Linked DNA regions of Tamandua tetradactyla. The protein of the gene in region 2 purifies or fractionates together with the protein of the main gene of each other region. This does not show direct contact. Links are inferred from orthologs where the notes say so. Each region holds a gene or a part of one and is shown on either strand. Other genes may lie near its edges. The genes, in order: CDYL, EHMT2, ZNF644 and DNMT1.

Region 1 (7,962 bases), on a different chromosome or scaffold from region 2:
CAGAGGAGTAGAGCTTCCTTTTGAGGAAAGAGTGAAGTAGGCTCCACAGAGTTAGTGTTTAGCTGCAATTTGAAGCCTAGGCAGGATTTCAGCAGGCATGGATGGAGGAGGGGTCCTTAGATGGGAGTTACAGGGTAAGGAAAGGGGTAGAGATGGTAATAATGGGATAGGATAGCACACAATGCCTGATCTCAAAAAAGCACATGGTGCCTACAAATCTTTGGGTGGGGAGGAGAGGTGATTACTCTTGGAAAAGTTCAGAAAGATGAATCAAAGTCAGATTTTTTTTCATGTTATTTTCAAATTAAAGTATCATTTATATACAACAAAATTCACCCAGTTTAGAAGTCAGAACTTTGAAGGTCTTGCAAGCCCAGGTAAGGAATTTGGATGGCTAGAGATCATATGATGTCATAAAAAGAATCAACAGATTTGGCTTTGGATTTCTGTTCCATTACTTGCTCACTCTGTGATTGATAGTAGACAAGTTACTACAGTGGACAGATTATGTTATGTGATGTTAGTCTTAGAGTCTCCTTTACTTATTTTCAAGGGTGATAAGAATATACTCTCAGGGGAATGTTGAAAGGATAAAAAAAGTATTGTGCATAAACGTATCTGAGGTATCGATTAACTTTCTACAGGATTCATTGGAATTGTCAGTGGTGGGACCACAGTCTGCATTGTATTAAGACCCCCAATTGATTCTGATCAGTGTAAGCAATGGGAGCCATGAAAAGCTTTTTTTTTGTATGCTGTGTGGTGGGGGTCACGTTTTATTCTTTTCCGTACGAATATCCCATTACTGCAGCACTATATGTTTAATGATTTTTTTTGGCACAGTTAGAACAATACATTTTGATTATGTGTGCAGTGGCACATCCAGGGTTTGGAGATCTGGTGGGAATTAGAAACCAAAGAGGTTGGAAAGCAGATGGATTAGCCTCAGAGGCTGGTTTTGGTCAATGTTTGTTTGTTTATTTATTTATTTATTTATTTATTTATTTATTTATTCAGCAGTAAGCAAACATTGCTTCAGCCCCTTCTTTGAGTGAGGACCTGCATTTCAATAGAGAGATAAAAGTGTCACCATTTCATTCCATCTTTTAAGGAAGGTCACTTGGAAGACCTTCTGTGGCCTCTGTCTTCCTTGTTCTCTGTCTGACTGAGTGTTGGTGCTGGTAGCAGCAGTTCAGGGAAGGCTATGTGTTTCTAGGTTGATGATGGAGGGCAAAACTCTCAGCTCCAAGTATCTACTGCAGTGGCAATTAGTGGGATGCTTCCTTGGCTTTGATCTTTCCTTTTGGATGCTCCAGTCTGGAACCCACAACCAGTTCCTGGTCTAGATCTCATTCTTAATAAAAACCTTTAGACTCTGGTTCTGATTCTTCTCATTTATAACACTAGGAAATTGTAGGCAGGGAAGGAATGAACGTGGAAGCATGAAATCATTTGACTAGAATTACTGAGTAGCTGTAAAAAGTGACCACCAGCAGGGGAAAATTAAACCAGGCAAGGTCAAAGAGGGTCCTGTGGAAGAGTGTATTGACATCAGACTGGAAGGAACAGTAGGAGCTAATTAAGGGAGAGGTGGCAGGGTCAGAGGTTGGAGTTAGCAGGGTGGGTGGATAGTATACTAGGCTAAAGGAACAGAGCAAAGACCAGAGCATGGAACAACTCAAACCACAGCAAACATGGTGTAAGATGAGGCTGGTGATAGAGGTGAGGAATAGACCCTATAAGGCCTTATAGCCCCCTTAAGTTCATCTTCATCCTAAGATCAATGGGATGTCATTAAAAAGCTTTTAAATCTAGCATTAATCAGATTTTCACTTTGAAAAAATCATTGTGGCTGCTCTGAAAAGACAAGGTTAGAGGAGGGTCAGCGTATCAGAGTACTTTGGGGAGTAGTTTAAATGAGAGATGAAGGTAACTTGGTCTATGATGATGGTGCTAGTGATAGAAAGAAATGAACTGAATGTAGAGAGAATTAGGAAGTAGACGTGGTAGTCTTTGGCAATGGGATAGAAATGATGATATGAGTCAGTGGAAGTTGTAAGGGTTGACTCCTAGGTTTCCAGCTTGGGGAGACTGAATGAATGGGAGTGCCATTATTGCCCTAGGGAAACTTGAAAGAAGACCAATTTGATGGGAAGATGATGAGCTCAACTTCAGACATCCTGAGTTTGAGGAGCCTTTGAGTTGTCTTAGTGGAGCTAGCAAGTAGATAATTGGATGTATGAAACTGATGCTTAAAAAAAGATCAAGCTGGGCATATTCTTTTGTGGGTTTATAGTCCACCATCAAACTATAGGTGCTTTCAGTTCCTCTCCAATTACCTAAAACAGAAATCCTCATCCTTCTCCACATATTGCCTATATGAAAGACACAATGCGTCAGTCATTAATGATTCTAATCACTGAATCATTACTCATTCAATCTAAAATATGGACATAATTTTGGACTTCTACCTTTCCTCTATGCCAAAATCTTATTAATCACAATGCCCAGATTTCTTCTTTTGAAATGTCTCTTGCAGATTTCTTTTCTTTTATTCTGATTCAGTCCCTTATTACATAAAATACTTGTGAATTGGTGCCTAAATTTTTCTCCCAACCTTTATCTCCATCCTGAACACTGTAATCAAGTTTGTTTTTCTTCAACACTGCTTCCACCATTCTATTCCTTCAACAAAACCTTTCAGTAATCTCCCATTGGCCTGAGGTGACATTTTGACTCCTTGGTTTAGAAGGCAAGGCCTTTCACAGTGTGTCACCAGTCTTTCAACTGCTACTCTTTCCCTCCCATTGCCTTCATCCCTTTCCAATCTGTTTTGTACCCTGAGATGAATCTCTTCAGAATGTTGCTTGAAATCCATTGCTTTCCAGGAATGGTCTAGGTTAGGAATAGATGTTTTCCTCAAGGACCAAGAGGGTCACTGAAATCAGCTTGTATTTCCCTCCTCTGTGCCCCTGGTCTGTCTCTACACTGGGTGTTTCCTTACTGGGCAGGGGCTTTGCCTCATAAGAGGGCCCCTCTATGATGTAACATCCTCACACCTCTGTACTTGTTCTACTTCTTGTAACATCCTGCAAAAAAGCTAAGAACTTAACATCAAATCACAGCTCAGTAAAAGCAGTTTTAAAGGCGACCATTGCATGTTACGATTATAGAGCACTCTCTTGATCTGACTGGATCTGGAAAATGTGATATTCAGAGCAGTGGTTTCCACACTTGGCCAATTCTTACAAATATTTGGGGAGATTTTAAATGTGTGCAGTCAATCCTTATTTGTGGTTGTTATGTCAGTAAATAGTGAATCATGGCTTCTAGAGGAATATAGGGCTTGGTTCCTGAGAACCTCTGGTCACATTTTTCTCAATTGATCAACACATGATCTTGTTTTATGCATATTACTGTTCAAAGACAACTTATTTAATATATACTGTTGACTCATTAATATTGAATTTAGACTGACCGAGCTATAACTCATGCCTAAAAGAAGCTTATCTAACACACTTTTTTCCGTTTAATGCCAATCACAGCTTTCTTGCATTTAGGAATATTAGACTACCATTCAGCACTATGCTTGGATGCCATTTTTTTTTAAAAAGGAGAATTTATTAAGTTGCAAATTTAAAGTTCTAAGGCCATAAAAATGTCCCAATTAAAGCAAGTGTATAAAAATGTCCAAATTCAGGCACCAAAAAGAGGTCACCCTCACTCAAGAAAGGCCAATGAAGTTCAGGGTTACTTTTGCAACTGGAAAGGCACATGGTGAACATGGTGAAGTCTGCTAGCTTATCTCCAGGCTTTTTGTTTCATGACGCTCCCTTGGGAGCATTTTTGGAGGCCATTTTAAAGTGTTTTGGTTTGCTAGAGCTGATGAAACGCAATGTACCAGAAATGGATTGGTTTTTACAAGGGGGATTTAAATTAACTTAAAAATTTATAGTTCTAAGGCTGTGAAAAATGTCCAAATCAAGACATCAACAGGGTGATTTCTGGACTCTGAAGACCAGCTACAGTGGGCTTGTGCTCCTCTATCAGACAGCAAGGCACATGGTGATGTCTGCTGTTCCTTCTCTCCTGGGTTTCATTGCGTCCAGCTTCTTACTTCAATGGCTTCCTCTCCTATCTCCTGTGTGGTTCTCTTTTAGCTTCTGTGTCTCTGACCTTTTTTTTTTTTTTACATGGGCAGACACCAGAAATTGAACCCGGATCTCTGGCATGGAAGGCAAGAACTCTGCCTGCTGAGCCACTGTGACCCGCTCTGAACGTCTGTGGGGCTTTTCTCTCTAAACTTCTCTAGAGCTTGTTTTTCTGTCTTTTATCTTCTTTAAATGATTCTAGTAAGAGGATTAAGATACACCCTGAGGCATGCCTCAACTGAAATCACACTAATCAAAAGGTCATTTCATAAGAACATTTATTATGGTTATTAGGTTATCAATAGTTAGAAAATGACATCGACTTCTAGGTTGATGTCATTTTTGACCTAAGAATAGAAAACGTCAACCCGTAAGAGGTCTACATCCACAGGAATGGATTAAAAGAACATGATCTTTTCTGGGGCATTAAACCAACACAAGCAGTGAAACCTCACAAAAAGCATAAAAATACTAAAAACATGGCATTAATGAAAACTGAAACAAGAAGGCAGAGCATCATCTTGTTTGACCTCAGCTGGGAATATGTGTCTCAGACGTCTATGATTTTTTGTTGCTTTCTGTGTGCCTGTAAATGACCATAAGTATCAATTTTGGAGTTACAAATACATTTTTTTGTGAGTAGGCACATTTGGATATACAGAATCTGTAAACAATGACGATGTTTATTACATGGCCCCCCTCCTTGACCTTCTGAATAATCTCCATAGGGTGAGGCTTTGGAACCTGTATAACTAGCCCCTGCTTCAGAGTTCAGAACAAATAGACTTGGCTCCAAACCAATAGACAGTTAAGGAGGATGGCGATATTTAAGTCTAGAAGTGCTGGGAGGACAGCGACGTTGATTTTGAATCTGGAGGCACTGGGAGGATGATGATATTTCTATTAGTGATAATAATATGATTGGCCTCTATTTGTATATCAGATCATAATTTACAGTGTATTTTCTTATATGAGAAAACAGAAAAGATGGAAGTGCAGAAGAAAAAGGAGGAGGTTTGCAGGGGACCATCTTTCAGATGGTGTTTAAAACACTTGTGGGGCGTGGGGTGCAAGGGTAGTTCAGTGATAGAATTCTTGCCTGCCATGTGGGAGACCCAGGTTAGATTCCTGGTCCATGCACTTCCAAAAAAGAAAAAGGAAAACAAAACAAAACAACAACAAAAAACAAATGGTGCTGTAATAATGGGATAATCACATGGAAAAAGAATGAAGTGTGACCCCCCACCGTACAAAAGAAACAAGCAAACAAAAAACAATAGCAAAAAGTCAACGCCTGTGGGCCAACTAGGTGCATATTACCAGCAGGTTGTTGGAAATTTGGGTCTGGGACTGAAGAATGAAGTTAGGGCTAGAGTAATGTAAGTTTGAGGGTCATCTGTCTGGAAGAAAGAGTTGAGGCTGTGTAAGGGGAGTGAGAGTCTTGTGAAATAACTACATTTAGTCTACAGAGGAGGGAAAAAGAGTAAGGAGATAGAAGATGTGGGAGGAGAAGAAGGTCAAGTTCAGGCTCATTGTGTAGGGAAGGAAGATCCTTCTAGAAGGAAGAGTTGGGTGGGTGGTCAGTATGGTTAACATTAACGATTACAGAGTAACTGAAGAGGAGAAGGGGTGGAAGAGGCCAGTGACTTTGGAATTCAGGATTACCTTATGATTTTCTTAGGGATATATATGCTGGAGATGGGTGGAGGATTGGTTTTCATGGGCTTGAGAAAGGAGTGGGAACGGAGAGGTCTCCTATTTCCTCTAAAGATTCCACAGAGATCTTTTTGATCTGACAAGCTTCCTGCCCACATCCTTACTCTTGCTTTATTAAGAAAAAGATTTTTTTTAAAGGAATTCAATTATCCAACAAAGATTGATTAAACCCAGAACACTGGTTATGATGGGTGATTCTTGAAGTTGAGGCTCTTCAAAGGTAAGATCTAACTCCCTCCTTTTAAAAAATAAAACAAAAACGTTTTTCAACCTTTTAAACCCTTACATGAAATTGAGTTTCAGAACCCTTCATTGCCAAATTCCTGCCAGAAATTTACTTCTGAACGTTTTAATAGATATCTTCAAAGTGCCTTCTCTTTCGATAAATGTTTAGATAGGAGAAAGATTTCCAGGAAGTTGCCTCAAACAATTTAGTAAGACTTCGAACTATGCATTTGAACTGAGATGGTTTGGGATTGGAATTTGAAAGTAGATATGTTAGGAGTTGATGTTATTTTCTAACTATTGGTAGCTTAGACTTTTTTTTCTTGCTTTCTTTACTTGATATATGTTTCTACACTGAAAACACTCTTTCTAGGAAACATTCTATTTTCACTTTGAAAATATTTGTATGTGTATGTGTGAACAAATGCTTGTTGAATCAAACGTTGATTGTATTAAACACTTTGGTTTTTGCATTCTCATCCTTTATTTTTTATTTTGCCTTTTAATTATGAAAAATTTAAAAATAATACAGTAATGTAGAAAGGGAAAGATAATGAGCACATATATTATCCTTCCCTAGATTTAACAGTTGTTAGCATTTTGCCATGTTTGCTTCATATGACATATGATAGATAACATACACAAATGCATATAATATTGTTCTAAGCCACTTAAAAGTTAAATTACAGATCTCAAGAAGCTTCACCCCTAAATACTTCAGCATACATCTCTAAAAATGGCATTCTTCTACATAACCATAATACCAGTATCACACCAAATTAAACTGATAACAATTTCTCTGCCCATATTTAAATTTTTTCATTTGTCCCCCAAATATTTTGTATCTCTGGTTTGTTCAAAACAAGATCTCATCCAGATATCCCTCTTTTTCTAAGACAATCTCCCCACTTTTCTTCCAGCCCTGCCCCCCACATTCTGGCTTTGTCTGGTTGTTTCCTCATAACATCTTGTCCTGTTCTCTCTTCTCTGTATTTCCTGTATCTGGAAGTTATAACGAACTGAAGGCTTAACTAAATTCAAATTAATCATATTTGGCAAACAAACTTCATGAGTGATGCTGTATACTTCTTATTGTATCATTGGAAGGAACATATTAACCAGTTATCCTACTGTTGGCAATGCTATGTTTAAATGCTGGTTTGAGGTGATAATGGCCAGATCTCTCCATTATAAAGTCATATTCTCTCCTTTGTGACTGGGGAGAAATCTTTGGGTGGTAATTCTTAGGTACCATGTGACAATCCTATCATCAGCATCAACATTTTACTTAAGATTTTTAGCATCCATTGATTGTCCTTGTTTGGATCACTGATTCACGAGAAAACAAAAAGTGGCAATTTTCTAATTTTACCATTTCTCCTATATTTATTAGATGAGATTTATCTATAAATATGGGATAAATCTTCACTTCCTTCCCTTTAATTGTGATTTTCAGAGAAGACATTGATGCAATAGTCACTCTCCTTTAGGGTGCCATTATTGACTCAACAATTTTTAAAAATATATATTCAATGTGTTTAATCAATTCTGGTGATTATACTTTTTAATGTATAATTGTCCAAAAATTATCCAGTGAGAGTCACTTAAAGCTAGCTTCTGTGTCTTTTGACATGTTCCCATTCATTTTTTTTAGTTGAGAAATCATCACACAGATACATTCCATACATGGTGTGCAATCAATGACTCACAATAGCATCACATAGTTGTGTACTCATCACCATGATCATTTATTAGAACACTTGCATCACTACAGAAAAAGAAATAGAAAAAACTCATCCATACCATACACCTTACCCCTCCCTCTCATTGACCACTAGTGTTTCCATCTACCCAATATATTTTACCCTTT
Region 2 (7,857 bases):
TGGAAACAGCGATCAACAGCTCCGATACTCGCCGGGCGGTTTAGGGCCCTGGGATAGGCCGCGATTCTACCACGGTCTCCAGCGCCGCACAGGTGGACCAAAGCGGCACCACTTCTGGGAGCAGGTGGCAGCCAGGCCAGCGGGATGCCAGGCCCACTGGGAGCCAGGCGGACGCTCAAAGCTGGAAGGCGGGGTGCGGAGCGGGTAGCGCCGCTGGCCGCCGGGAGCAGGAGGCGGGCCGGAGCAAGCGAGCCTCCGCGCGGCACTTGGCACGCACGCGCAGACGGACCGCGGGGCCTGGAGGCACAGAGGAGGGGGAGCGAGAAAGAGCGGGGAGTGGAACGTATTTCCGCTCTGGCGGACAAATAATCTCGGCCAAAGGGGAGGCAAGGCCGTCCGGCCCCTTTAACCGCGTCAGGGGGGGCTGGTGAAGAAAGGGGGGTCGGGAAGGGGGGATCCTGCTCCTTTAATTCCCTCCCCTCTTCCTCCTCCCCGAGTCCTCGCCGCCGCCGCCGCCGCGCGCGGGGCCTGGGACACACGGCACGAGCCGCCCCCGCCCCTCCCCCTTACACCCACGCGGAGCCGGCCACGCGCGCGCGCCCCGTGCACCCCCGCGCCTGCGCGTTGCCCAGGCCCTGCCCGTGTGTGGGGGGCGCCGCCAGCCCCGGGGGGGTGGGGGAAATAGGGGGGAAAAAACAGCGCGCGGAACCCTGCCAGGTGAGAGGCGCGTGCATTTAGGGTCGTGGGGCTGGGGGGCGTGCCACGGACCTGGGGGGTGGCGTGCACGATGCGTGCAGACGGCAGGAGGGGGGAACGTGAAAGGCGCGTGCAAACGTGCAAAGGGGGGGCGGAGGAACGAGGCTGCGGGTAAAGGGGGCGGGGTGAGAAGAACCTGCAACCCGGGCCGCCCCGGAGCCCAGAGTCCCAGGTCTCTACCCCCCCTCCCTCAGTTCCTCCCCAGTGGGCTCGCGGGCTTGCCCGATGCTCGCCGGCGGCCCCGCCCCCGGCAACCACGCCTCCTTCTCGCAGGGGCCCAGCGACTCCCCTGGCACTGGGGAAACTGAGGAAGAGTCCTGAAGTCTTGTGGATAGGGTGTTGGGGATAGGAGGTCGAGCAAGAATGGAGGTGCGGGGCCTAGAGCCACGGCTTCGGAGAGCCAGAGACCTTTGTCTCTGACCATTTTCCTTCCCAACTAGGGTTGCCCCCTCCGCCACAATGGCCTCTGGGGTGGAAGTCCTGCGCTTCCAGCTGCCGGGCCATGAGGCCGCTACACTGCGGAACATGAACCAGCTCCGCGCAGAGGAGCGGTTCTGCGACGTGACCATTGTGGCCGACAGCCTCAAGTTCCGCGGCCACAAGGTCATCCTGGCCGCCTGCTCGCCGTTCCTGCGGGACCAGTTCCTGCTGAACCCCAGCTCTGAGCTGCAGGTCTCGTTGATGCACAGTGCGCGCATCGTGGCGGACCTGCTCCTCTCCTGCTACACTGGTGCCCTGGAATTTGCCGTCAGGGACATCGTCAACTATCTGACGGCTGCCTCCTACCTGCAGATGGAGCACGTGGTGGAGAAATGCCGGAACGCCCTCAGCCAGTTCATCGAGCCCAAGATTGGCCTCAAAGAGGACGGGGTCAGCGAGGCCAGCCTCGTGAGCGGTGTCAGCGCTACCAAGTCCCTCCTACCTCCTGCCAGGACCCCAAAGCCGGCCCCCAAACCCCCTCCTCCACCTCCTCTGCCCCCTCCGCTCCTGCGCCCTGTGAAGCTGGAGTTCCCGCTGGATGAGGACCTGGAGCTGAAGGCGGAGGAGGAGGACGAGGATGAGGACGAAGACGTGTCTGACATCTGCATTGTCAAGGTGGAGTCCGCCCTGGAGGTGGCGCACCGGCTCAAACCCCCCGGAGGCCTGGGAGGAGGTCTGGGCATCGGAGGATCCGTGAGCGGCCATCTCGGGGAGCTGGCCAAAAGCAGCATGCCCCCCAGTGCCGTGGCCCCGCCGCAGGGTGTGGTGAAGGCATGCTACAGCCTTTCTGAGGATGCAGAAGGGGAGGGCCTGCTGTTGATCCCAGGGGGCCGGGCCAGCGTGGGGGCCACTTCGGGTCTGGTGGAGGCGGCAGCAGTGGCCATGGCTGCCCGGGGGGCGGGGGGCAGCCTGGGGGCGGGGGGCAGCCGGGGGCCCCTGCCCGGGGGTTTCTCGGGTGGGAACCCCCTGAAGAACATCAAGTGCACCAAGTGCCCGGAAGTGTTCCAGGGCGTGGAGAAGCTGGTCTTCCACATGCGGGCGCAACACTTCATTTTCATGTGCCCGCGCTGCGGTAAGCAGTTCAACCACAGCAGCAACCTCAACCGCCACATGAACGTGCACCGCGGCGTGAAGTCGCACTCGTGCGGCATCTGCGGCAAGTGCTTCACGCAGAAGTCCACGCTGCACGACCACCTCAACCTGCACTCGGGAGCTCGGCCCTACCGCTGCTCTTACTGCGACGTGCGCTTCGCCCACAAGCCCGCCATTAGGCGGCACCTCAAGGAGCAGCACGGCAAGACCACCGCCGAGAACGTGCTGGAGGCCAGCGTGGCTGAGATCAACGTCCTCATCCGCTAGTGGGCCCGGGGCCCCTGGGCTCGGTGGGAAGGGTCTAGGAGAATGGGGGGGGGGGGGTCTGGGGCAGGAAAGTATGGCGGGGAACCTAGCCAGACATATCCTGAGGGAGGGGCCGAAGATTCCTTGGAGAGAAGACCCTGCCTCTTCACAGCGGGGAGTGGGGGGGAGAATGAAGGAGATGGGGAGAGGGTTTTTTGAGGTCAGGGGATCCGGAGTCCCAGAGAAAGATTGTCTCTAAGAAGTGCATGGATATATGGAGGGAGGGGGAGGGTCCTATAGAATGAGGAGAAAAAAGACTGGAGCTTGTGTTATTCTGGGTTAAAGGCTGCCCAGGAGGAGATTCTGACATTTCATGAGGTGGGTTTGGGTGGGTGGGAATCGGGAGGGAACTGGGCAGGAGGCAGCCTACATGCTCCTGTTTAGAATAGACCCTCAGCAGAGGGAATGGTAGGGGAGAAGAGTATTGAATCCCAGAAAAGAAACGGGGAAACGGTTCTTGCATGCTGGGGGTTGGGGACTTTGGGTACAAGGCTCTCCAAAATTCTAGGGAGAACGAAGTAAGAAGTCAGGTAAGAGAATATGGAGGTGAGCATCCTGGGTAGATATTGGGAAGTGGGGGTATAATAGCGAGAACAGTGTGAATAGTGGCAGGGGTGGGGGGAGGGCACTTAGAAGAGAGGACACAAGGGCTGTTGGGGGGGGAAGGAGTAGAGACTTATACAGTATTTTTTAAAAAAACAAAACGTATTTTTTAGGATTTTTTCTGGAGTTTGGGGTTTTAGTTTTTCTGCTTTTATTTTCAACAAAAAATAAAAAAAAAAACCACCTTTTTTTCTTTATACTCTGGCAACTGCGTGTCTATGACCAACCCTTTTTCTTTATTCAGTTCTCTGACTGCCCCACCCTAGACAGCCTCTCCCTCTAATGTGGCATGCTCAATACCTGGAGATCACAACTCCTGCAGGTCCCATCCCCGAAGGACCCCAGCCTGTAACAGGGAAGGGAGAGTGTAACAAGTGTGCTCCTCTCGCCAGGGACTCTTGTCAGTTCTGTAACCTCAGCACCTTGCAAGATACCCCATAGCACCACAAGTGCAGTGGTTGTTTGGTAGTGGCTGGGATGCACCTGAGTTGCTTTTCTATTTGATGAGTTCGGTATTAGGACTAGGGATAGGTTATACAGGGGGGTCAGTATGTCCACTGAATTATAAGCAGAATTCCGGGTTTGGGCAATTTTTGTCTAGGTAGTAGGTACAGTTTCCAGGGAAAAGTGAACAACCGCTACATTTGGGTTCTGGTGCAAGGAAGACTACAATTCCCAGAAAGCTATGGAATAGGTCTTAACCAAAGAGAACTACAGTTCCCAGAAGGCCTTGAATTGGCCTCAGGTGCCCCTTATCTCAACCACCTACCTGTGTCCAATACTTCCTGTGAAATCGTTATCTTCCAAATTTAGCCAGAATGCCATACCTAAAGGGGTGGTACTTTAGTGCTCGAGGTTGTACATTTTGGTGCAATATCATTCCTACTTTCATTGATAGCTAGGCTATGACTCATGGAGTGTCTGATTTTGCTTGTGAAGTGTTTAGGAAGTGAAAAAAAGGGTAAATGCAGTGTCAATTGGTAGTAATGATTCTTGGGCTGCTGGGGCTTACCTGGATCCCTAGTGCATGTGATGCAGTAACATGCCCAGCATAAACACAAGAGACATTTAGTCTCAGGTTTTCAAAAGGGGACGCTACTAGAGGGGACAAGAAGCAGCAAGGCCACACTAGCAGAGCGTGTAAGTGTTCTCGGCGCATCCCCATCGCCCCCTTCTTGCTCCTTAGAGAAGCGAGGCCAAAATTACGGCTGAGCCTTCTAGTCTGGTGACCCAGAAACCAGAAAGAGAAAAGAGCAACCAGAAGTGGGAGAAGCACACGCGGGCCGGATAAAAATACAGCCGAGGCCAAGAATCAGGAGGGTCAGACTCTCCGTTTGTTACCTAAAACCAGGTACGCACGGAAAGGCCACACTTGGGCCCAGGCGTGCGTCGCCCTCGGTTCTCCGCAGAGCTGAGGCCAGGAAGGGCAGCAATTGTCGCCTACGGCCTGGAGCTTAGAACAACCACCGCCATCTCCAAGGCAGCTCTCGGGGGAAAATGGCCAGAAAAGCGCTGTGCGGCGCCTTTAAGACCCCTCCTCGCCCTCCCTCCCCCCGCCCACGTGACCCGGGGCGGCCGCGCGCCGGCTCGGCCCCCCGCGCGAGCGGCGATGGCGGCGGCGGCGGGAGCTGCAGCGGTGGCGGCCGCCGAGGTGCGGAAGGGGAGGGGGAGAGGCGGGTGCATGCCCGCGCGCGCGCCCGGGGGAAGCGCGCGCCCGTGCAATGCTCCGGGGGTGCAACGGGGCCGGGGGGCCCGGGCGGGACTTGCAGCAATCTGGGGGGCCAACACCGGGGGCGGATGAGGGGACCAGGGGGTGGGAGGTGGGGGGAGTGGGCACGGAGGCGCGCGTGCAGCCGCCGGCTGCCCCCGAGTGGGCGGCGGGCGCCGGGGCCCCAGCGACACGCGCGAGGGGCACGAGGGGCCGTCCGCCAGGCTGGGGGGCAGCGGGCGCTGGAGGGGTTGGTGCCCGGGGTCCCCGCGGCCTGGGGGACAAAGGGGGAGCGGCGCGTGCAGCCGGGAGGAGGGGGCGGGGCCGGGGCGCGGAGGCCCCGCCCCCTCCCCCTCCTCTCCTCTCGGCCCCAGAGATGCGGGGTCTGCCGAGAGGGAGGGGGCTGATGCGGGCCCGGGGGAGGGGTCGTGCGGCCCCTCCGGGCAGCCGAGGCCGCGGAAGGGGGGGGGGCCCATAGGGGAAGAGGTAGGCCCCGGAGCCTGCTGTCTCTTCCCAGAGCCCAGGCGTCCTGGGCCCCCCAACTCCCTACCGGCCTGACCAGCCCTCCCGTCCCTTGTCTCCCCTCCCAGGGGGAGACCCCCGCTGAGGTGGGGGCACTGCTGCTGGAGAAGGAGCCCAGAGGAGCCGCCGAGAGAGGTGAGTGTGCAGCTGAAACGGGCCCAGTTGGACCTTCACCTCCCCCAATATAGCCCTTAGCTCTGTACTTTTTTCTCTTCCTCTTTAGTTCATGGCTCTTTGGGGGACACCCCTCGTAGTGAGGAGACCCTGTCCAAGACCACCCCCGACCCCCTGGAGCCAGCTGGCCCCTCATCCCCAGCCTCTGTCACTGTCACCGTTGGCGATGAGAGGGCTGATACCCCTGTGGGGGCCACACCGCTCATTGGGGATGAACCCGAGAGCCTCGAAGGAGATGGGGACCTCCATGGTGGCCGCATCCTGCTGGGTGAGAGGCTGGGGGTGGTGGGGGGGTGGAGGTGGGGGCGGGGCAGCCTTTGACTCTGCCTTCGCTCTTATCTTGCCTTCTGCCTGTCTGCCTGACTGTTTTTTAGGCCATGCCACAAAGTCATTCCCCTCCTCCCCCAGCAAGGGGGGCGCCTGTCCCAGCCGGGCCAAGATGTCAATGACAGGGGCTGGCAAGTCCCCCCCCTCAGTCCAGAGCTTAGCTATGAGGCTGCTGAGCATGCCAGGTGCCCAGGGAGCAACAGCAGCAGGGCCTGAGCCCCCTCCGGCCACCCCCAGTCCAGAGGGGCAGCCCAAGGTTCACCGAGCCCGGAAAACCATGTCTAAACCTGCCAATGGACAGGTAAGAAGTGGGGGGTGGGGGGTGGGGCGATCAACTGCCAGGAAACTCTTGTGGGCTTTTTTTACAACTTGGTTTCAGGCGTCTTCTAGTTCAGTCACGTGTTCACATATGGTTTCAAGGGACTGGGCCAGGGAGCTTAATTCTTGAACACACGTCTTTGTGTCTTTCTGGAGTTTCACGTCCTTGGAGAGGAAGACAGAGACAGGTTTAAAGAGTTAATTATATAGTCAAAGGTCTTACTTACCTTTATGATAATGACTATGTAAAGGAACTTGAAACCACCCTTCCTTTCTGCCTCAAAGCCAGCCCCCAGGGGAATTTTTTTTCTCCTTTCTTTGAAGCTGCCCCTGCTCCGTTTTAAATTCCTGGGAATCCCTATGAGGAAGGACTACAGAAATGAGTGGAGGGAAATGACAATGGCCCCAGAATCTCAGAAACTTTATGGCCGGGTTTTAAGGACTCTTGATAACATTCTGTCCTGGCTGTGGTTTGGGCAGCCTCAGTCAGGTCTTTCATCTTGTGTGTGTGTGTGTGTGTGTGTGTGTGTGTGTGTGTGTGTGTGTTAAAATATATACAATGTAACATTTCCCATTTTAACCACTTTGAATTGCTCAACTTGCTGGTATTGATTACATTCATAACGTGTGACCATCAACGAGGATCTTTAATCTGTAAAGTTTGTTTTCTCATCTTAAAAATGGGAGAACGACCCCTGCATCTGGGTGGCTGAAAGATAAGTGATGGTTGGTGGTGGGGGATGTGCTTGACATCCTCCTCTGAGGCAAACAGCCCTTGGTATTGCTACATACTCGTTCCTGGAGACCCAGATGGCATTTTTAAGGGTGTGGCCCGCCAATCCAGCCCCACCAAGGGCTCCAGGCTACTGTGCAGAACTGTAGGTATTCCCTTCTCCTAAGTGTGCTCCCTCTCGGCCCCCAGCCCCCTGTCCCCGAGAAGCGGCCCCCTGAAGTGCAGCATTTCCGCATGAGTGATGACGTGCACTCCCTGGGGAAGGTGACCTCAGGTCAGTCCCACCCCCCACCCACTGCAGCCTGATGTGGCCTGTCCGCAGGATTTCGAGTACAAGCCTCACTCCTCTCTCCTTCCAGATGCCGTCAAAAGGAGGAAACTGAACTCTAGAGGCAGCCTGGTGAGCCAGGAGAGGCAGGGAGCGAAGCCTCTCCACCTGGGGTTGGGGTGGGGCTGCTTCAGGGGTGCCCAGGCCTGGGACCCGACTCTGGGTGCTCAGGGGAGGTGAAAGTTGGTGAGGAGTGCCAGCGACGTCAGTTTTTCTGCTCTTTTTCTAGTCGGATGAGTTGGCTTCTGCCCGGGGCTCAGGAGAAGTGACTCTGGAGAAGGGGGACCCTGGGCCCCTGGAGGAGTGGGAGACAGTGGTGGGAGATGACTTCAGTCTCTACTATGATTCCTACTCTGTGGACGAACGCGTGGACTCTGACAGCAAGGTGAGATGGAGCTGGCCGGCCTCCCCCAGCCCCCCTCCACCACAGCCTGGGTTCACTGGCCACACTTTCCTCCCCCCTCCCCCATTCATTTTGCGCCCATTCATTCACTGCCTAATACTACCTAT
Region 3 (6,960 bases), on a different chromosome or scaffold from region 2:
GCCACATAAAACTGCTGGCTACAGTATGGGACAGCACAGGTATAGTTAGTAAGTGCTGTAGGAGTATGGACAAAGTGTAAAGTAGAAACTGAACTGAGCCTTAAAAGATGACTGGGTCAAGAGTATGAGACTAAAGGCTGAAGAACACTGTTCCTGTAAAGAAGAGATAGAAATTAAAGCAAGAGATATATTTTGAAAGCAGATAATAGAATAGTCTGAACCCGGTTTAGGAAATTTAGTTTGTATATTGTGGGGTGTGTGTGTGTGTGTGTGTGTGTGTGTGTGTGTGTGTGTGTGTGTGTATTTGAGGGTGCCTAATCCATGGTCATAAATTGAGTACTTGATGAATATTTAATAGAATTAATATGAAGCAGAATACCAAAAATGCTAGAGAAACTCTACTAGCAAAGCCATGTGGGCCTTTAAAGAGAAATTTAGGGAATATTGATACTCTATGGTAATATAATGGAGAGTTTTTAAATAGGGTGAGAACTAAGAAAAGGTTCTTCAGTTTGGCCAATACTTTGTTATTGGTGACCTGTTTTTAAATGTTTTATTTAGACATAATTTACACATAGTGAGGTGTACAAATCGTGAGTACAGGTTAGTGAATTTTTACATATAAGTGAATCTAGGTACCTTCTACCCAAATCAAGATATAGAACATTTTCAGAACATTTTGGGTCCCCTTTTACTAAATGGAAGTAAGATTCTTGTGCCTACTGTCAGTCCCCTTTCAAAAGTAACCACTATTCTGAATTCTATCTCTGTAAATTAGTTTTCTTGTTTCTGAACTTAATTATGGCATATCTGTCCTCCTTTTCAAGGGTAGTGAGAGTTGGTGCTTGTGTCTATTTCTCTTCTATCCTTGTTTGGTATTTGTGAATTTGTTGGTATTTTAGTTTGCTGAAGCTGCTGGAATGCAATATACCAGAAATGGAATGGCTTTTAAAAGGTGAATTTATTAAGTTGCAAGTTTACAATTCTAAGACAAAACAAATGACCAAACTAAGGCATCCAGAGAAAGATAACTTAACTCCAAAGAAAGGGCCCATCAGGGTTTCTCCTCAGCTGGTAAGACACATGGCAGTGTCTGCTAGCTTTCTTTCCTCATTTCATAGGACTTCCCTGGGGGTATTTTCCTTCTGCCTGTCTGCAGGTCTCTGGCTATGTGGGCTCTGTTGGCTCTGAAGCTTTTTCCAAAATGGTTCCCTCCAGTAAGCAATCCCACCTTGAATAGGTGGCGACACATCTCTATGGAAACCATCTAATCAGAAGTTATCACCCACAATTGGGTGGGTCACATCTCCATGGAAACAAAAAAAGATCCCACCCAGCAGTACTGAATAAAGATTGAAGAGTATGGCCTTTCTGGGGTACGGGACAGTTTCAAACCTGTACAGGTGGTAAAACAGACGATGGGTAGCTGGAACCGTGGCCCTTCTGTTTTATTTCGGTTTTTTGTTTGTTTCCCCCAATCTTGATTATGCCAAGTTTAGAGAGATCCTTAGTCTTCACTATTATAACTCTTTAGAGGCTAGTCTTATGATTTCAGTGTTTGTTCAGAATGGAGAGATGTGAATTTCCTTCACAGGTAACATAAATTATCTGGCTTGCTTTTAGTACAGTATTCTCTAAACACATAGCCAAGAAGGAGGTGGAGGAGGTCTTAGGTTGCCCCCTAATGTAGTTGCATTTTGGATCCTCTTTGACAGTAGCTTGTAGGTAATATGTAAGTTTAGCTTTCAGGATTTCATATTTGCTTAATAAAGTATTGGGTATTTCTTATTGTGATCGTAGGGATAGAAATTAATTGGTGTACTACTGTTTACAGATTTGTATCCACCTTAGAATGAGAAAGATTTTGGCATTTATTTGTGTGTAAATAATTAGGATATTACCCTAAGGCAAATTGCACAAAAGATTCACTGGTTAAAACCCGTGAAGGAGATTTCATAAAGTGAGAACTGAAACTAGAATTGTTGATCATGGTTTTTATTTCTAGGTCTTCAATCAGTTTGTTTGTTTTTTTTTTTCAAAATGGGTTAGCAGCATTATTTTTCATAAATACTGAGCACTGGAAGCTTTTATTATATAACAATATTAAATTGGTGCTTTGGGGAGAAATTTGATTTTGTTCTGAAATATGTATTACTAAAAAAAGTTGTAAAAGGTATGTAATGATGAAAATATGTCTTCATATTTTAACATGCTTAGCTTTGAAAATTGGAGTTTTTTTTGTAAATTATGCAGAATGGAGCATGAAGAATTTCTCAGCATTGGATTATGAGTGCTTTTGAGTTTATGAATGAAAATATTTACTCTATTAAAAAGTTGTATGTTTGGACTTTGTGCTTTGTTTACAATTTTTAAAACTAAAGTACATTTAATATATTCCTATTTCAAGAATTTTAATAGTTTCCTTAAAGAAATAATAAAACCTCATCTATCAATTTTTCTTATTGTAGGTTTTGTGTTTGTGAAGTATAGAAGACTAAAGCAGAATTAGGTTAGGAATTGAAAAAGTATATGCTTGTTATCTACAAAATATCAAAACTTTCTTCATAGCTTATTTGGGCTAGATTTCAAAACTTACAAACAAAATTATTACAATGGTACTAATTATATGTAGGAAGAAATGCATTGAACAGTATATGTTTTCCTCTTGACAAAAATGAATGTTATATTTGAATTCGGGATTGGGAGATTTGAATTTTTATATTCGGAAAAGCATTGTGTCATTATATTTCTCCCCACTTTTGCTTGTTTAAATGTTTATTAGTTATTATACAAATTCACTTACTGTCTCACTAGGAATATGCACATATACAGTGCTTCAAATAGCTCCTGATCTAAAACGTGATTTGAAGAGCACCTATTAGGGAAATATTTGAATTACTGAGCTTATGTGAAACAAAATAATATGAATGAATGGTTTATAGAAAGTGTATTAATTAAAAAAAACCTCTTGGCAAAAATTTTTATCTAGATATTGAAAAAGTGGTATGTGTAGATTAGTGGAGAGGGAAGGTACTGTCAGCTATGAGAAAGTCATGTTTAAAAGCACGGAGTAGTTCAGTGATTAGAATGCCCGCCTTCCATATGGGAGACCCAGTTCGATTCCTGGACCATGCACCAAAAAGAAAAAAAAAAAAAAAAAGCACAGAGATGGGAATTATGGAATGCAAGCATTTTCCTTGGCTGAAGTAGAGTTTATTTGAAATAAATATAATGAAAAATAAACTTGATAAGATTGTGTCTTGAGCTAGAGGAATCTAAAGGAGTTTTATGAGAAAGAAATAAGGAGTTTTACTGAAAGCCTTTGAGCAGAATTGCATGAGGAAAAGAGGAGAGGGATTAACAGTCAAGTAATATAATTGGAGAAAAGATTGGTATGAAGAAGGTCTGTTAGGAAGTTAATGTCTTGGTTCACGATGAGTATATGAAGGTAGCATGGGTAGTTTTAAAATAAAACAGGTGGGGACTAAATTAAATCAGAATACGGGGGTAAGGAGGACATTGTTTGCATTTTAGAACTTCACCTACTCTGCGACACCAAAGGAAGAGAGGTTTATTTTGTCCAAAACTTAAATTTTCTGTAGCACATAATCTAATTCAATCTGTTTGGATAGATGATTTCAACAATCCAAGCACATTGAACCCAGAATGGGAATAAGGGCTTGTAATTCTGTATAGCTTAATGTAATGCACGGATACGTCCCAGAGTGTGATGAGAGATACTGAAAAAGTATGGCAAAATCCCTTGAGGGGTGGGAGAAAAATTATGGAACTATTAAACTCTACCAATGAGGAAACTCCTGGTACTGTCTCAAACATTAGGGACTCCCAAGTCAATAGGCCATGCCCTTGATCTTGAGGCTTGCTCTTGTGAAATTTATTTATTTAGTAGAGAAGCTAAGCCTACCTATAGTTCTAAGAGTTACTTCCAGAGGACCTCTCTCTCTCTAAGCCCAACTCTGCAAGTAAAATCATTACCCTCTCCCCTTTGTGGGACATGACATGTAGAGGTGAAAGCTGTCTTGGCAATATGGGAAATGACTTCCAGGGATGAGCCTGATCCTGACACCATGGGATCAGCAATGCCTTCCTGATCAAAAGGGGGAAAAGAATTGTAGCAAATATGGTGTCAGTGGCTGAGAGAGTTCAAAAAGAGTCGAGAGGCTACTCTGGAGGCTACTCTTATGCAACTTTAGCTACATATTGCTGTTTATCATGGTTTGCTAAACCCCAATCCACACCTTTCTTGCCAACCCTAATGAACAGCTAGGGTTTTATCTGAGATTCTACAAAGGTTCCATGCATTATGATTACTCTCCAGAAACTTAGAACCTCTGGATGGATTCCTAGGCCAGATAATTCCTGAAACCCAGAGGGGCCATCTTCTCCAGAAAATGACCTAGTTCTGTCCCCTTCTCCTATATTATCAATAGCCCTTTCCAACATGAAAAAGTTGAAATGGACATAGCCCAAATACCTCTAAAGATGGGAAGAAAGATCAAAGGAGAAGGTGGAGTTATAATAGAAAAAATGACATTTAACAAATGAGTATAACAGCTGAATCATATTTCTTTTAGATCCAGTGTCTTGGAGCAGGTAGAAGGAAAAACCTAAAATTGTAGAACTGTAACCCATACCAAACTGAAATTGTGATGTGCTTTGAAATTTATTGCTTTTTTGTATATATGTTATATTCACAAATAAAAAATAAAGTAGATTTCTATTGTGGCTCCTAAGTTTGTAGTGCAAAGTTAAAATAAGAATGGAATAGTTTTATTATCTTCTGGTATTGAACATAAATTTACTTGGAGAAAATTTTCATTGTTATTAACACTAATTGAGATACATCTGCCTTTTTCTATTAAAAAAAACTGACCTGAGGTTTTTTTTTAAAGTTTGATTTGAAAAATAAGTAAAACACAAGAAAATTATGCTATAGCAGTATTTTCTGAATTTCAGGTACTTTTGAGTACAAAATATTTTAGATGAACGGAAAGAGAAGATGTAAACTGTAATGCTGAGGTTTGAGCATTTGAACTGTGGTTCTAGAGACATTCTAATTGGTAGAGGGACAGTTGGGAAAACAGGTTAATTAAAATTAATAATCTGGGGTGGGCCATCATGACTCAGCAGGGAGGGTTCTTGCCTGCCATGCCAGAGACCCGGATTCGATTCCCGGTGCCTGCCCAGGCAAAATAATAATAATAAATAATAATAATAATATGAACTACCAGTGTTTCAATTTATTTTTAAGTAGATATTTGTTTAAAATTTAGGAGCATTTGGGAACATACTGCTTTTTTTATGAGAAAAATAAAAATCCCTAAACTGTGGTTCCCTCAGGGTGGTGGTAGTATTTGATATTTATGATATGTTTTTCTTAATGTTGACTTTAAGGTTTCCTAAGTTGAAAGTGTGCTATGTTTTATAATGAATGAAGACCTTTTTTACAGTAGAAGTAGAAAAACATGAAATATCACAGAAGTAACATATATTTTAAAATCTTTTCTGCTTTTATTAGAGTTAGAAGATATAGCAGAAATTTCGGAGTTAATGAAATTTTTAAGATAGTATATTTGTCATAACAAGTTTACATTTTAATTGTTATCACAGTTAATATAGACTTAACTTCAGTTAAGAAGTTAATGGTGAGATTTCTGGCAACATGGCAAAACAGGCACATTTGACTCTTAAGCTTACTACTGAGGCAAAACAGCTAAAGTAAAAGAATACATTTTCCCCTACTCACTCTCGTTGGGAAATAGAGATTCTGCATACATGTCTGAAATTTGGGGTTTCTGTATAATAGTGTGGGTGAGCAGGGGTGACCGTGGAACTATCTATTGATTAACCTAGTAAACTGGTGCAAGGAGAGAACGGTGGTGGTGAAGTTAGAGATAATTTTCAGTGGTTGCGGTAGCACTCAAAATTTTGTGCTGTGGCAGTAAATGTCTTACAGTGACAGTGCCATTGACATTTATGCAGTGACATCCTAAATAGGATGCCTGACCGCCTCCTTATTCATCTGATTTTCCAAGCCTGATTCACCAATTTTATTATCAAGTTTGATTATTTGATATTCTTCCCATAGCTTTTTCTGAATTTAACCTTAGAAATTTAGACTGAGAAATATTGTAATTCAATGTTTGAAAATTTATCATATAAAATACATAATAGAAGGTTGAAAGATAAAATTTAGGAAATCTCCCACATGTAACATAGGGGAAAATAAGAAAAAAGATCACACTTGTGGGTTTAACATAGGTGTGATTAAAACTACAGAACAGGAGAAAACGGATGTAGGGAATTGTTTAAGAAAAATTGAAGCAAAACCTTAAGTTTCTAGATTGAAAAGGCTCACAGAATGCCAAACATAGTGACTGAAATAAAGAATCACATTATGGTGAAATTTCAGACACCAGAAATAAAGGGAGGGCTCAAAAATTTCAGGTGAGGGGAGGGAGGAATGGGATGTATAAAAAAGGATTGGTACTCAGTAATGTTGATACTTGAGTAAATAAAATAATACCTTCAAATTTCTGAAGGAGAGTTTTTTCCAAACTATTAATTCTATATACCCTGTGTGTATACCCTACCAAGTGTAGGAGTAGACTAAAAATAGGAAATGTTAGAATATTTACTTCAAATACACTGTATCTCAAGAAGTTAGTACAAGGTGGGCTTCATCAAAATAATTGGGAAATCAAAAAGAGGAGGGAAAACACAGAAGAAATAGAAAAAAAAAGATTTTTGCAACTATATTCATTAAGGGATGTTGATTTGTTTTTGGTGTGAGGATAATATTGTCGTCTTAGTATGAGTTGGAAGAGTTCTTTTCTATTATTTGACCAGTTAGTGAAAGACTGGTGTTAATTCTTTGAATATTTGCTAGCTCTCACCAGTGAAATCTGGTTCTGCGCTTTTCTTTGTGGAAGTTTTTTG
Region 4 (6,846 bases), on a different chromosome or scaffold from region 2:
AGAGTAAGAAAAATCACAGGGAAAAATGTGGCTTGCCCTGAAAGGCATGATTTTAGAAGACTTGGGTATATTATACTTCAAAAAGTTTAGAAATACAAATATTGGAAATACTTTCTAGTATCATTAGATATCTAATGGAACTACAAGTTAAAAAAGGAAGTTAAAAAGGAGTTTAAAAAGGAAGCTGCCTGACCCCTAGGGATGAGTCTGCTCTCACACCGTGAGATGGACAATACCTTCCTGACCAAAAGGGGGAAAAGAAGTATAACAAATAAGGTATCAGCGGCTGAGAGATCAAACAGAGTCCAGAAGCTACTCTGGAGGCTACTCTTATGCAAACTTCAGCTAAACACTGCTAATTCCTATGGTTTGCCAACCCCAACCAACATCATTACTGTTAACTCTTAAGAACACCTAGGACTCTGAGACACTATAAAAGTTTCATGCACTAACTTCATTTTCCCGAAACCTATAACTTTCAGAGGGTTCTTGGGCCAGATAAGTCCTGAAACCCAGAGGCACTAGCCTCTCCAAGATTATCAACTAATTACAACCCCCTATCCCTTATTGTTAACAGCCCTAATCAACATGAAAAAGTCAGAATGGGCATAGCCCAAACATCCCTATAGACTGGGAGAAGGATCAAAGGAGAAGGAGGAGTTATAACCAAAAAAAAAGGATTTAACAAATGAGTATAACTGCTGAATCACAATACTGATATTTCTTTTGGCCTCTAGTGTTTCGGAGCAGCTAGAAGGTAAAATCTGAAATAGTAGAATAGTAACCCATAACAAACCCTGAAATCTGTTCTATAACTGCTTGTTAAAATGTACTTTGAGGGCAGTGTGACAGTGGCTCAGTGGCAGAATTCTCGCCTGCTATGCCTGAGACCCGGGTTCCATTCCCAGTGCCTGCCCATGCAAAAAAAAAAAAAAATTTACATTCATTTACAAAATCTAAGTTTAAGGGACTGTTGAATGTCATGTTTATGTGTCTATTTTTTTGTACCGTGAGATACTTCAAAATGTAAACAAAAAGCTGTTAAGAAGTTCACATAAGCTAATAATTTCAGTGACTATCACTTGATCTAATGTGGGTGTCATCACTTCATACCAAGAGGCGGCAATTCTAGTCCAAAGTTATATGGAACCTGGGGTGCACTGGTGAGTGTTTAGACTCATCCATAGGTGTTTTATTTCAAACAAAGCACTCAACCAGGCCACAGAGCCCCCTGAGTCAGTGGGCCATTGGCAACCACTTGGCAAAGGAAAAAGGCTATGGCAAGTTGCAGACTTAAGCACAAATCTCTGCTTCTTAATAGCAAATTCCTGAGAAACCCGCTTTTAAGATCTTGAGGATTAAATGAGATAAAGTAAAGTACTTCATGAAATTTGTAACTGATTAGCAGAACTGAAAAAAGTAAGGCAAATTAGGTGAAAACAATGTTAATGCCTTTATGCACCGATAATGTCACTTAAAGCCGACACTATTAATTCTACTCTACAGATGCAGAGGCAGCATACATTTGCCCAAGGTCACAGGCAAGCCAGTGGAGAGAGGGTTATCATCAAGGAAAATAAGGCAGGGCCCAAATTTCATTTAGTGGGTCTCACATTGTGAAGGTAGATACTTTCATCATTTCATTTCCATTTTAAGTAACAGGATATCTTGGGGAAGGATGGGAAGCCTGATTTCCTGCAACAGACAAGACAAATCCCCTCTAACCGTGGTTAAAAAGTGGGCTGAGCTTTAAATGACTGGTACAGAAGCCCCAGGGCCCCTAAACACATACACACACACACCTCTCACCTCCAAAAGCCCCAATCAGAATTGGTCTGGCCCCACAATACGGACTAGACTTGGGGGATGGGGTGGGAAATAAGCACAGGGAAAAGGAGAAATGGCAAAGCTGGGTTCACAAATCTGGCGTGGAAGCCTTCAGCCCCGGGAATGGGGTTCCCAAGAGTGAATTTGATATGCCCTCCACAAACAAGAGGCTGAGGCCAAATGCTCTTTCCACCGACCCCTGTCCACCGGGGACCCAACTCAGGCAGGAAGGGGCCTGTTTTAGATGCCACCCTGCAAACTGCAGCCACCTCTGGCTTAGCGAGGCTTCCTGGATGCCCAGGGCTCCCAGGCAAGCAGATTTCCTAGAAAGGACCAGTCCGCGTTATCCAGCTGCTCCGCGGTCCCGGTCCTGCGCTGCCGGGTAGGAGGCGGACGACACCCGCACAGCCCGAGGGAATGAACAGAGCCCCCATGAAAGGCTCGGGCTCGCGAACCTAAGCCGGCCTCGCCCGGGCCTCGACCGGCGACGTCGGTCTCTGGAGGCCGCCATCCGGATGCACAGCGCGGGGAATCGAAGGGTCTCCCCAGTGCGAATCACGGAGAACCGGGTCGGCCGGACCCCGGCCCAACTGGGCACCGGAAGTGGAGGCCAGAGTGCCGGGGCTGAGGGGCGTCCAGAGGTCTGGGGGGGCCGCTCCCTGCCTAACACCGCTGCTCAGCAAAAGGAGACCCCCCGAGGTGAGCCCCCAGTTTTGCTCCGTTTTGCGGGGCGGGGGGGGATGTCTAAAGAGACCCCACGTTTCTAGCCGCCAGCGCGCCGTGAGGGGCCACAGCCCATTTTGGCGCCAAATGGCCAGGGGCACGCGCGACCGGAAGTACCACCCTGACCGCGCCAACCGCCGCCCGCCGCGCCATCCCGCGCATGCGCGTCCGCCTGTCAGCGGCGGCCGCGAGCCGGCCCGAGGGGAAGCGACCCCCCCTCCAGCGCCGTACCTCTCCCACCCCGGCCGCCCCCGAGGACGCAGTCTCCCACGACACTTACCGCCTGCGGACATCATCGGGCAGTGAGACGGCCGGGGAGGCCAGCGTGGGCACACGAGCCGGGGCGGTTCGGGCGGGCATCTCGGAGGCTGCAGCGCGGGCGGGTGGCCCCGGCTTTTCGCGCGGAAACCGACTGGGAGGGGCGGCGAGGGGAGACGGCGTGTACCACCCCGGCCTGCCCAAGGGGGAAAGCGGGACGTACCATACGGAGAGGCCGTACCACGTACGGGCGGAAAAGCCGTGCACAGGCACCGCGCATGTGCGAGACGGGCGCGCACCCCTACACGGGGCAGTGGGCCTGCCCAAGCTCCGTCGTTGGCAACGGGTGGGAGCGCCCTACCCAAGACTTTCATTCATTCATTCTTTCGGGCTTTCTGAGGATAAAGTAGCGAGCAGCCTCAGGGGGTTACGAGCCAGCGTGCAGGCCCTTGAGTTAAAGTCCTCGCTTTCAACCCCATCTCTTTCCTCACTAGGCGACCTTGAGCGGTGGGTCACTTGGACTGAGTCTGTTTCCTCACCTGTAAAACGGGGCTAAATAGCACCTACTCCAGAAAATCTGTAGGATACACAGAACATGTAGCTGGCGCCAAGGACCCTGGTAGTGCTGGGAGGGCGAGATCACGTCCACAGCCTGTTTTTTAAAAAAGAACCAAGTCAACTTAACAATTCTGGTATACTCTTCTATTGCTCAGATGTGGTCTGTCTGTCTCTCTCTCTCTCTCTCTCTCAGCCAACACACAAGCAAACTCACTGCCCTCCCCCTCTCTACGTGGGACATGACTCCCAGGGGTGTGGACCTTCCTGGGAATGTGGGATAGAAATCCTAGAATGAGCTGGGACTCGGCACCAAGGGATTGAGAAAACCTTCTGGACTGAAAGGGGGGAGCGCGAAATGAGACAAAATGAAGTGTCAATGGCTAAGAGATTCCAAACAGAGTCCAGAGGTTATCCTGGAGGTTATTCTTACACATTATATAGATATCACCTTTTTAGATTAAGGTGTGTCTGAGAAGCTAGAGAGAAGTGCCTGAAACTGTAGAGCTGTGTTCCAGTAGCCATGTTTCTTAAGATGATTGCACAGTGATAATAGCTTTTGCAAAGAGACTGTGTGATTGTGAAAACCTTGTTCTGATGCTCCTTTTATATACGTATGGACAGATGAGTAAAACATATGGATTAAAAATAAATAAATAGGGGGAAACAAATGTTAAAATAAATTAGGTAGAGGGAAATACTAGTGGTCAATAAAAGGGAGAGATAAGGGGTATGGTATATATGAGTTTTTTCTTTTTACTTTTTATTTCTTTTTCTGGAGTGATGTAAATGTTCTGAGAAATGATCATGGTGATGAATATACAACCGTGATGATATTGTGAGCCATTGATTGCACACCAAGTATGGAATGTTCATACATTAAGAATAGGTTCATGTGTATGTTGATTGGTTTCATTAATAAAAAAATTTTAAAATTGTGGTATAATTTTTCATTTTCTTGGTATTTAACAAGTGAATGTGTTTGTGTGCACACATGCGCGCGCGCGTGCGCACACACACTGTAGGCACCCTAGCAGCTGGGAAGGAGAAGCGTGCCTGGCCAGAAGTGGACCTCAAGCCCTCTGGTTGCTATAGATTCTATGCATGGCAAGATCCAAGAAGACGGAATAATAATACTAAGAGTATAATTAATAGTTATTAATTTTATAGGTAACCAGCATTTATGTACTATTCTATACCAGACTGATTAGGAGTTATATAATTTAATCCTTAACAAACCCTAAAGGGAGATATTAGGACCCCATTTCCCATGGTCTAGAACTGAGGACCCAAGATCATAAATTCAGTAAGTAAAAGGAACTCTGAACCCAGAGCTTGAGTGCAAAACAGTGACCCCAGGGTTGGTCAGCCATCTGACCCCTGGGAGGCTAAAAGGACAGCACTGGGAGAACTAGATGAAGGAGGTAGCAGGGCAGACAGGATGGCAGGTAGAAGACAGTGTTGCCAGAGTGAGGCTCAGGCCCCACAGTCCTGCTGGAACCCAGCATCCAGGCCTCTAAGCCGGGTGGGGAACAGACTAGCAGACCTGTATTTCAGGGGCCTCAACTTGACAGAGAGAACAGCTGCATTTATTGGGTCCTTTGCCAGCCTTGTGAGGAAGGGATGACTTGACCCATTTTACAGATGGGACAAGGGCTCAGGGACATAAAAAAAAGATTTGCCCAAGGGCCCATGGCAAGTTCGTGTCAAAGCTCGACTTCCAACTCAGTGGTCTTCTCCCGAGCTGCTCACGCCAAAAAGCCAGGCACCATCTTTAAATTCTCTCCTCCCCGTGCATTGGGGATTGAATCACTCACCTCCCCCACAAAAGATAGGTTCAAGTCCCAATCCACATCCCCATGTGTTTGGTTTTTTTTTGTAAACAGGACCTTTGAAGGTGTATTATTAGTTAAGATTTGGACTCATTTGCAAATTGCAAACATCCTTTTCACAGCTAAGGCCAAATTAAATCAGGGTGGTCTTAATCCATATACTGGAGGCTTACAAACAGAGGCAATTTGGATGTAGGCAGTCAGTAGAAGCCAGAAGTCAGAGGAAGCCAGAAAATGAGCAGATGACCATGTGACGGAGGCAGAAATGCATGCCAAGGAACCCCAAGGATTGTGGCAAGCTACCACCTGAACACTACAGACTCCAGGAAGAAGTGCAGCCTCGAGACTTCAGTTTGTGGACTCCTAGCCTCAAAAAAAACATGAGACAATAAATCCCTGTTTTTAAGCCAACCAACCAGTGTGTTGTATTTGTCGCAGCAGCCCCAGCAAACTAAGCCAGCCCTCACAGAATGAGCTACTCTTGTTGGTTTTTTCTCTGCAATGCAACCCAAGTCCTTCTCCTTACCACCTCTGCTGCCACCCCAGCCCAGCCTGCCATCCTCATTTACCTGGACTATTCTAGCAGCTTCCTCCTCAGCTCCAAGCTGTCCCGGAAAGTCCCTTCTCCACAGTGCAACCAGAGAGCTTTAAAAAAAGAATAAAAATAATTGGAACATGTCATTCTCCTGTAAAATCTTCCAAAACTTCCTATTGCCCTTGAAATGAAATCCAAGTATTTTATTCCATTTACAGGGTCTCCTCCCCCCTTCACTGAGCTCAGCTTACTTGGCCCCCTTTTACTCTTTCAAGCTCTTGCGTGCATCACAGGCTTAACCTATGCTGCCCCCTCCTCCTAGACCAGTCTCCTGGGAGATCCACCCAACTCCACCCAGGGTCTCCTCTGGCCACCCAAAAGCAGCTCCATTCCCCTCTTTTTTTCGTCACATTGATCATCATCAGAGATTCTCTTATTTACTGTCTCTTGTGGTCTCTTAGAGCAGGGGTCAGCAACCTTTTTCCTTAAAGGCCCAGAGAGTAAAATAGTTGGCTTCACAGGCCACATGGTCTCGCTCCTGCCCTTAGAGCGCAAAAGTCACCATAAAAAAGTTAAATGAGAAAATAAAAAATTAAAATTAAAAAAATCACCATAGACAGTTCTAAACCATAGCCACGGCTGCAGTGCAGTAAACTTTTATTAACAAAAAGATGCACCCCTTTGATAGTTAATCAAATGGCATTTAAGATAGGGGGTTTAATATTTAGAATTTAAGAAACTAGATAGCAATCTAATATCCACAGATTTTTTTCCTTGCTTGCTTTAATTTTAAATTGGCTTATGAAACATATTGTACAAACAGGCTTTACTATGATTGCTTAGATTTTTTTTTAATACGCTTATGAATAAGCTAACTAAGATATCCAGTTTAGGTGGTTAAGATTTTCATGTTAATTGTAAAAATATTTGTATCTTCGTATTTTCCTGAAATCGAGAAAATTGTTTAGTAACATAGGTCATGACTATAGCAATGAAGATATTTGTAAGAACTTTCTACTCGATATTTTGAGAGCATTCAGTTTTGACAGCTGATCAAATGCTATTTAAGTTAGTGTTCAATATTCAGAAAATAAGAACTTTGCTATCTGAATTTGT

What was found.
Region 1: the proteins of EHMT2 (region 2) and CDYL purify together in Homo sapiens (affinity purification with mass spectrometry; 4 studies listed by BioGRID and IntAct, with this or other methods). This does not show direct contact. The link is inferred for Tamandua tetradactyla from reciprocal best matches to the Homo sapiens genes EHMT2 and CDYL.
Region 3: the proteins of EHMT2 (region 2) and ZNF644 purify together in Homo sapiens (affinity purification with mass spectrometry; 3 studies listed by BioGRID and IntAct, with this or other methods). This does not show direct contact. The link is inferred for Tamandua tetradactyla from reciprocal best matches to the Homo sapiens genes EHMT2 and ZNF644.
Region 4: the proteins of EHMT2 (region 2) and DNMT1 purify together in Homo sapiens (affinity purification with western blotting; 3 studies listed by BioGRID, with this or other methods). This does not show direct contact. The link is inferred for Tamandua tetradactyla from reciprocal best matches to the Homo sapiens genes EHMT2 and DNMT1.

The regions. Positions count from the first base shown.
Region 1 is NC_135351.1:6,958,667-6,966,628, reverse strand, and holds the start of CDYL (chromodomain Y-like protein), read right to left. Parts: upstream 3,007-7,962; 5' UTR 2,840-3,006; intron 1-2,839.
Region 2 is NC_135331.1:87,475,132-87,482,988, reverse strand, and holds the start of EHMT2 (histone-lysine N-methyltransferase EHMT2), read left to right. Parts: upstream 1-4,838; 5' UTR 4,839-4,846; coding exon 4,847-4,888; intron 4,889-5,535; coding exon 5,536-5,602; intron 5,603-5,690; coding exon 5,691-5,909; intron 5,910-6,015; coding exon 6,016-6,269; intron 6,270-7,208; coding exon 7,209-7,293; intron 7,294-7,378; coding exon 7,379-7,419; intron 7,420-7,576; coding exon 7,577-7,732; intron 7,733-7,857. Other genes in the region: ZBTB12 (zinc finger and BTB domain-containing protein 12), read left to right, coding at 1,216-2,595. UniProt on the Homo sapiens protein: Histone methyltransferase that specifically mono- and dimethylates 'Lys-9' of histone H3 (H3K9me1 and H3K9me2, respectively) in euchromatin.
Region 3 is NC_135337.1:33,361,828-33,368,787, forward strand, and holds the start of ZNF644 (zinc finger protein 644), read left to right. Parts: upstream 1-3,960; 5' UTR 3,961-4,476; coding exon 4,477-4,528; intron 4,529-6,960.
Region 4 is NC_135337.1:91,553,573-91,560,418, reverse strand, and holds the start of DNMT1 (DNA (cytosine-5)-methyltransferase 1), read right to left. Parts: upstream 3,006-6,846; 5' UTR 2,911-3,005; coding exon 2,831-2,910; intron 2,627-2,830; exon of another isoform or gene 2,339-2,626; coding exon of another isoform or gene 2,283-2,338; intron 1-2,282. UniProt on the Homo sapiens protein: Methylates CpG residues. Preferentially methylates hemimethylated DNA. Associates with DNA replication sites in S phase maintaining the methylation pattern in the newly synthesized strand, that is essential for epigenetic inheritance.